Linked DNA regions of Oryzias latipes. The main gene of each other region encodes a partner of the protein of the gene in region 2 in a complex. Links are inferred from orthologs where the notes say so. Each region holds a gene or a part of one and is shown on either strand. Other genes may lie near its edges.

Evidence for each region.
Region 1: the proteins of prim2 (region 2) and prim1 are in contact, whole or in part, in a crystal structure (PDB 5EXR), measured with the Homo sapiens proteins. The link is inferred for Oryzias latipes from reciprocal best matches to the Homo sapiens genes PRIM2 and PRIM1. Residues at the interface, in NP_000938.2 of Homo sapiens: Glu165, Ala168, Ser169, Pro171, Ser172, Phe188, Ala189, Leu192, Phe195, Arg196, Gly197, Arg198, Val200, Tyr201, Leu202, Glu203, Asp204, Gly205, Phe206; in NP_000937.1 of Homo sapiens: Lys147, Glu148, Asp149, Phe150, Gly151, Phe152, Ala180, Val181, Gly184, Ile185, Glu187, Tyr188, Ser190, Leu191, Lys193, Lys207, Ile208, His209, Pro210, Ile212, Arg213.

The regions. Positions count from the first base shown.
Region 1 is NC_019865.2:19,076,616-19,081,142, forward strand, and holds the start of prim1 (DNA primase small subunit), read right to left. Parts: upstream 3,135-4,527; 5' UTR 3,005-3,134; coding exon 2,890-3,004; intron 2,493-2,889; coding exon 2,335-2,492; intron 2,250-2,334; coding exon 2,143-2,249; intron 2,060-2,142; coding exon 1,986-2,059; intron 1,905-1,985; coding exon 1,768-1,904; intron 1,092-1,767; coding exon 1,033-1,091; intron 833-1,032; coding exon 723-832; intron 642-722; coding exon 550-641; intron 469-549; coding exon 336-468; intron 1-335. UniProt on the Homo sapiens protein: Catalytic subunit of the DNA primase complex and component of the DNA polymerase alpha complex (also known as the alpha DNA polymerase-primase complex - primosome/replisome) which play an essential role in the initiation of DNA synthesis.
Region 2 is NC_019873.2:24,463,567-24,466,635, reverse strand, and holds the end of prim2 (DNA primase large subunit), read right to left. Parts: intron 1,423-3,069; coding exon 1,243-1,422; 3' UTR 867-1,242; downstream 1-866. UniProt on the Homo sapiens protein: Regulatory subunit of the DNA primase complex and component of the DNA polymerase alpha complex (also known as the alpha DNA polymerase-primase complex) which play an essential role in the initiation of DNA synthesis.

The sequences.
Region 1 (4,527 bases), on a different chromosome or scaffold from region 2:
TAACAATAAAGGGGCAGGACAATATTCATCTTCCAAAGCCCAGTAGTTCATCTTGTCTTCTATTTTATTTCAAATAGTTTACAACAGAAAGCGTGCAATAGCTTCAGTTATTTATTTCAACAACAGTCACCATTCCAAAGAGAGCTAATTATTTTAAGTAATAACAAAATATCGCATCTTTAAAGGTTTGCTTTTAATCCTTAATTTGAAAGTTTGACAGTTGTTGTTTTTTACATTCTTGTATGACATTTGCATTTTTGTCAAATCTGGCTTCATATTTATATGAATTTGTCTTAATGACTGCAAACTTTCTGCTCCTTTTAAGGCATAATCACCTGTTTTGGGATGGACACTGAACGGACTCTTGAGCAGATGGTTCACCCCTTTGCTGACGTTCACGTCGAGCCGAGGGTAACAGTACTGCAGCATGATTTCTTTTTCAAAGTGTTGGCCTTTTTTCACAGTACCCTAAGAAAAGAAAAAAAAACAGACGTCCTTCTGCACAAGAAAAAAAGATGTTATAAAATAAACCTATAGAAAAGTACAAACCTGCTTATTCTTAGCTTCATTTTTTATCATTTTCCAGAGTTTTTCTGGTTGCTTCACACCTTTCATTTTGGTCTGCAATTCATTTCTGACATGTTTTTGTGTATTAAGGTTGTAATTGTTTTATCTTATTGGCTCATATTAACACAAAACTTGTGACTTAAAAAAAAGGATATCTTCAGGCACAAGGGCCAGCACTTTGTCCACACACTCCTTGCGACCCAGTATGTCTTGGTCCTGCACCGCGTATTCCAGAAAGTATTTCTCCACCACTTCCAAAGATGCACTGTTAAGATTACAAATGTGGGAAATCTGAACAAACTGAAACCTAAACAGAAGAAAATGTTCAATTCTAGTAAAACAGAACAGTTTGATGCTTTAAAAATGGTTAAAAGTCTCCAAAAATAAAAGATTCACACCATTCACTGATGTGGGACTGCAGATAAAAATAGAATGCGTTTGAAACATTAAAATGTGGGTTATTACCTGATAAAGGGATGAATTGGATCTGTCAGGACCACTTTCTTCACCGTCTCCTCACCGCCCTACGAAGCAAACATGAGTTCAATAAACAGAAACTGAAAAAGAGAGATTTACAGGAACTGCATGAAAATGTATCAACAATGTTCCCTTATTTATGGAAGTTTTTTTTCCACCCATAATTCAAAATAATATTCAATTCTCAATCAACAATTAAATTTGCAATTTGATCATGCAATTTAGAAACGCATGTGGCAGATGAATATACCAAACTGACAAATGTTTTGCAGTTTCTTTAGAATTTTGACAGAGAAATATCACGGCAAATAGAAAAGCAATAGAGTTTATGTTAAATTAGGATGAATGTAAAACAAACAAGTAACTGAAATATATATATTTTTAATAGTGATTTATAAACTGGAAAATGTATTTTCAATATGCATATCCAAATTCCACATTGAATTATAAATTGCAAAATCCATTTTTACTTGTAATTTTAATTATGGTAACAAAAACCTATGACTAGTGGTTTTTATTTCAAATTACATTTTTAAAAATGTAACATTGAATTCTTATTTTACATTGAATTTACATTTTAAAATGGCAAAATGAATTGTCAGTTGGGAACTGAATGTTACTACGAAGAAATCTTCCACACTTGTCTCTATTTTTTAAACAAGCAAACCTCTTTCGCTTTTGTTTTTATAAACTGTTAAATTAAACCCATTTGCACCACATTACCTTGACCAGACTGAGGTATTCTGCCACAGCGGAACGTCCTGCGGCAGAGAGCTTCCGGGCAGCTTCATCACACACCCAGCAATGCACTCCTCTTCTGCCGGAGTAAACCCACAGCAAGTGCTGGAAACCAAAGTCGTCTGGAAATGCCAGAAAGCAGACTGCGGCTTCAAATAGGTGTGGAGCAGTGAAAAAGAGGTGAAGAGACACTGAAGACAAACCTCGGAGAGCCCTGTCCAGAATGTGAATGGCGATGGTCATCAGCGTCCAGCACTTGGAACAAATATCTGCAGCACTACAAGTGAAGTTTTGACATATTTAGTACATTTATGGAGAAAGCAAAGACATTACAAAGTAATGGCATATCAATAGTTCTACCTGCAGCAGGTGCGGACATCATCGTAGTCGGTCATGTCAATGTCAAACACAAGCTCCTTCTCCAGAGCCTGGAAGCTGCCAGACTTTACGGTGTTGTGTTGGTTAGGCTGCAGGTGTAAAGGAAGCCATCAGCTCTTTCTGCATGTCTGCATTGATGCTCAGAGAAGCAACATCAGAACCACGGTTACCAACCCTGTGACTGTAAACTGCTCCAATGTCGATCTTGTAAGGGTTCATCTTCTGCATTTCCTTCTCCAGCTCGTTCTGCGTGCTGAATGACTGGTAGCGAACATAGATGTCATCCTTGAGAGTGAAGGAGAACTCCCGGTTCTGAAAGTAGTTTTTTTGCACTGAGGAGAAAGAAAAGCAGGAAGAAAGAAAGATCTGTTCATTTTATGAAACCAAACACAAGCTTTAGCTCAAACATTCGCTTGTTATTTTGACCAAATATTCAGCTAAATTAAACCATGAATTAGAATTCAACTTACAATAATATAAGGTTCTACTAAATAGATGTGTTTTAAAAAAACAAGTGGGAGGATTATATATATATTTCATAAAATCCTAATCGATGTCAATGTTTGGGTTTGTTGTTGTTACACAATCAGCTCTCAGATATCCTGTCAGCGGCTGAATAAACACAATCGATAACTTTAAGCACTCAATATTTGACAGTCTTTAGCGGTTTAGCATCCCAACATTAACTTCTTCTACATTCCACAGCGTGTGTTTGTTTATAACACTCACCTCCGCCGTAGTTCAGCCAGCGATAATATTGTGAGAAGGGGAACAGTCGCCGGTAGTAGAGCGGTAATAAGTCTGGGAGACAAGCTGGGTCGTAGTCTGAATACGACATTCTCATAAAGCTACAGCTTTGACAACAATTGTAAATGGTTCAAAAATACCAGCGAGACGCTAGCTTGTCTGTTCTTCTTGCTAAAACGCTCACTGTGGCGTTTGCTTGCTGCAGAGCGCGCGGGAAAACTTAGAACAGAAACAACCAATCACAGGGGACTTCCGTTCACGACGTCACCACAACCAGGAAATGTCCGTGCATCCTCTTTTCTGAAGTGACGAATTAGAGAAGGGTTATGGGAAATGTAGTTTAGTTGGAGAGATACATCCGAGGCGTGTAAAACTGAAACAATTTGTGCTGTTTTTGTTTAAGGATAGCACTCTTGCAAAAATATATAGTTTTAAATATGTTTATCTTTTATTTGTTTATTTTTAACTGTCTATAGTTGTTTTTGCTTAAGTATGTCCCCGTTACAGCTCTACACCATTGACTGTGTGTGTGTAGTTATTTCTACGTGCAGTCAATGCTCTGGACACAGGAAAGGAAAAAAGAAATAGATAGATAAAATTTATTACAAACCAATAGTTCAATCATTCATATAAAACCACACAAATACAATAGAATAAAAGAGGCCAACTAAAAATAAAAAGTCAAAAAAATCCTTATTAAAAAGGCAGAAATAGAAGTAAGATATACAATAAATCAATATTATTATTATTATCCAAAACCTAAATATGGTTTTATGCTATTGTACTTGGTTTCCTTGTCAAACTGTCATGAACAATAGACAATCAACAATAAATAAATAATGACAAACTAACAAGTGCTCAAGTTTTGAAGTTATATTTTCTAACTGACTGGAAAAAAAATCTTTCTTTTCCCCCTAATTGTTGAGCCATATAGACATTTAAACTGGTGAGTAGATTAAAAAAATAACAAGGTAAAACTTTTACGAAATTGTAGGCAATTTTCTGCTTTACTGTGAAAAATTTGAATGAATAAAATACTGACATATCCTACAAAAATGACGTCTTGCTGTGTTTCGTGTTCAGAAAACATTCTCTGGTGGGTCATAAAATATACATCTTTTAAGTGTCAAACATCCAATAAGCAGTTAATTTTGGACGAAATTGTAACTCTTTCTTTTCGAAAGAGATCCTTGAATTTGTGCCCATTGAGAGACTCCTAAAAAATGTTTTAATAAGTATTTTACCACTGAATGAATATTCACAACTTATTTTGCCTTTAAAAAAATTGAATCTGTAAATTCAATACGGGCCCAAGTCCAAGAAGTTTGTTTTTCCAGGAAATTATTTTAATTGCATAGCTTAAAGGGAGGCAACACTAAATGATTAATACTTTACCCAGATTTAGCACCAGATCACAGTTTACAAATGCTATAATATGAAGCACCTCACTTTTGTAATTTCAGAGGACTAGTAAACTAAAGTCTCTGGACGTGGGCCCTTCTTGAATTAAACAGAAGTAACATCTGGAAAGAATGGACAAACCACATATTTATCATCATGAATCTTTATTTTTCAAACTGTCACATTCTTAACACTTCTTAGGATCAGTTTCTATCCAAA
Region 2 (3,069 bases):
AAACATGCATGAAATAAAAAGATGAGGACAAAGGGAGGCATCTCTGAATGAACAGAAATGTGCACACGAGCCAGCGTAATCGTTGCTTCACTGTTTTTATGCTGCACCTGCACTCCACGGATTCAGCCATCGCACAATTAAAGCAGCACATTTTTGTGGTTCGACAAAGTTAATGGATTCTGCAACACCTACTGGCTGCAGATTTGAAAAATCAGCAAGCTGCAACATTAACCTCCCAACGGCTTCATGGAACACGCCGGGCATCAGCTCCTGTGAGAGCTCTCTTTAAGAATCTCACATCACCTGTAGTCCGTCAGACGAGTGGCGGATAAGAAAGCTGCGCAATGTAAAGCCAGTTCACTGCTAATGACTGTAAATCCATCTGCAGAAATGGTCTTGGACATCCGTGGCTTCAGACTGTCGAGGGGGGGGGCAGCGGTGTCAAATGTAGTCATGCTTTACCAAATATTGAACATCAAGAAGTATCTTGCTGACAGCCGCCCGCCTTCAGTTATCCAGTTGTCTTATTATACTGGATAAATCCTCTTCATGTCAAGCACCATGACTGGATTTTAAGACCCAATTTCCGTGCAGGAATGTGGGACTCTGATTCTCCGGCGCTGCCACACGTGGATGCAAGTGCAGCCTGAATGATGTAGTGTTTCGACATGCACATAAATATAACACCCAAATAAGAGAAACAGTCCGTCTTGCACTGCAGGAGCAACGCAATCTCAACTTTTGCCACCATTTCTGGGAAATTATTAAGCAGACGGGCCAGACAGAGAGAGGGGGAAATATCTCGCCACCTCATTTGCTTTGAATAAATTGCATTGTGCATTATGAGGCAATATTCCAAGGCAGAGTAATACAACTGTGGAAATGGTTTATTTTTTCATCCATCCTCCTGTCAGCATTTATCCATTAAGCTGCCATCAAATACAAAGACATTGTTTTGGGGACAGCAAGGAAATGTTTACGGTTTCCCCCAAAAGCCAAACTCCATCCAAACAGAGACCAGATTTAAGCCCTGCGAGTTCAGTCCACAGCGAAAGCAAAGGAGCTAAATATGTGTTTATTACAAGTTTTACAGGAGGCTCCAATCTGACAAGGTGAATATAAAAAAAAAATCTTAAAAAAAAAGAAAAAGCATAATTCAAATGTGATGCAAGAGGCTTGAAGACAGTATGTAACCATCTCCAATAGAAAAAGGTGGAGGATTTCTCCATGTAGTGAGAGAAATCAGCCATCTTTAAAAAGAGCTTCCAGGTCCTCAGCCGTCTCTGCCAAATGCTGAGAGGTTTCCTGCACCTTCTGAGGAACGTCCACATCCCTCTTTGGATCCTTGCCTCCACCTAAAGCTTTCTGGCTCTCTATAAAGTACTGGTTGGGGTGACTGAGTGAGAAAGAAGAGTCCTCCACCTGCTCGTAAAGAAACAGAAAAAAAAAAAAAAAACAGGAGAGGAAGGTCAGCGGAGGATTCTAACTATGGGCTGTCACAGAAGTGGCAGGTTGACTGACTGATTTCATGGAATGTCACCTTTTAGAAGATGATTGTCTCACTTATGGAGGAAGATGAGAACTCTTGCACAGACTTATTTGACTTAACGGGTTTTCACGGCTTCGTTTGTAAGGTAAGTCACCTCCAGAAGTGTGACACGAGTGCAAAAGCTGTCACATGAAATGTCCTTTCAGGACAGAGAAAGTCAAACCAATGGAAACCTCAAACTGTTTTGGGCTTTCAACTTATTAAGAAGCATTTTTAGGATTTTAGTAAACCGTTTCATGGTTTTTAAAGTGTGTAGAAAGGATAAAAGATTTGTTTACAATTTATTTTCATAACTTTCTTTAAAACCCCACTGTTCAAAATTAGAAAATCAAAACTGTACAGCTCGATAGCTCCGATATTGCTCGCCATTTTTGCATCGAGGAGGGGGAAGGGGGCGGGGTTGCTCTCCACCAACGGTCCCGCCCACAAGTCAGAGATGAACTTTTGATGAACAACTGCTGCCCTGCAGAAATTATGTTCTCGAAAAACAGCTGTTTTTTGGGGGCTAGAAACGGCATAACCGTAATTAAAAGACCACTGCTGAAAATAAAAATAAAAACGATTAGAGCGTCTTTAAAACTATTGTGACTGAGCAAATTCTGTTTGTTTTTTAGCCCCTTTTGAAACGACTGTGAATTACAGGTTTTAAATGAGGATAATTATACAGACTTTGAATTTCCCTCAATCTGCTTTTCTGTGTGGGACTGAAGCGATTCTGCAGTGAGTCTGAGGTAACGATTGCCGCCACTTTCCCAGGTCTTCTCTATGGAACACGCTGTGTAAAATCCTACAGGTCTTTAAGTTATTAGCATCATGACAATGAGATAAGAATCTGCAGGAACACTTTGCCTGTCGAAGCAAATGAACTTCTCTTCTACGCGACTGCAGACAACATTTCTCAAGTGACTGCATGCATAATCTAAATTAATGTATGTGAAGTTCTTGTAAGCAAACAATTGAACCACAAACTATTCATTAAGCTTCATGTGCAGTTAATCAAGTCATGACTACATTGTCCCTTCAACAGTTATTGCCATTAGAGGCAAGAAAAATAACCAAATGCAGGATTACAGAAATATCCAGAGTTCTGGTACTCTTCTAAGGTTTTGTTCTTTGTTTTGACCAGATCCAAAAACACTAAGTTAGATTTGCTTCTTTATCATAGAGCAAGTTCTTTCCTTTTAGTTTTCTGTGGTCTGTCAACATATTTCTAACAGTGGTCCCTCGCTATATCACAATTCACCTTTAGCAGAGTTTTGGTGCACTTGTAATTGTTTTTTTAACAGCGGATTCTGTCCTGCATCCTGATTGGCTGTAGACCATTGTCAATCAGTCCCATACGTGTGGTGTCTCGTGTACAGAACGCGTTCAGTTTGCAATATTTAAATAAACATTCAATTGTTAGCAAATCTTTGCTTTCATTCTATAATACTGGACTTTTTTTTAACGAAGGTTTGAACTTTAAACATTTGAATAAGAGAGGAAATATTAATATTTGTCTGAGAGAAGTCTCAGAGAGG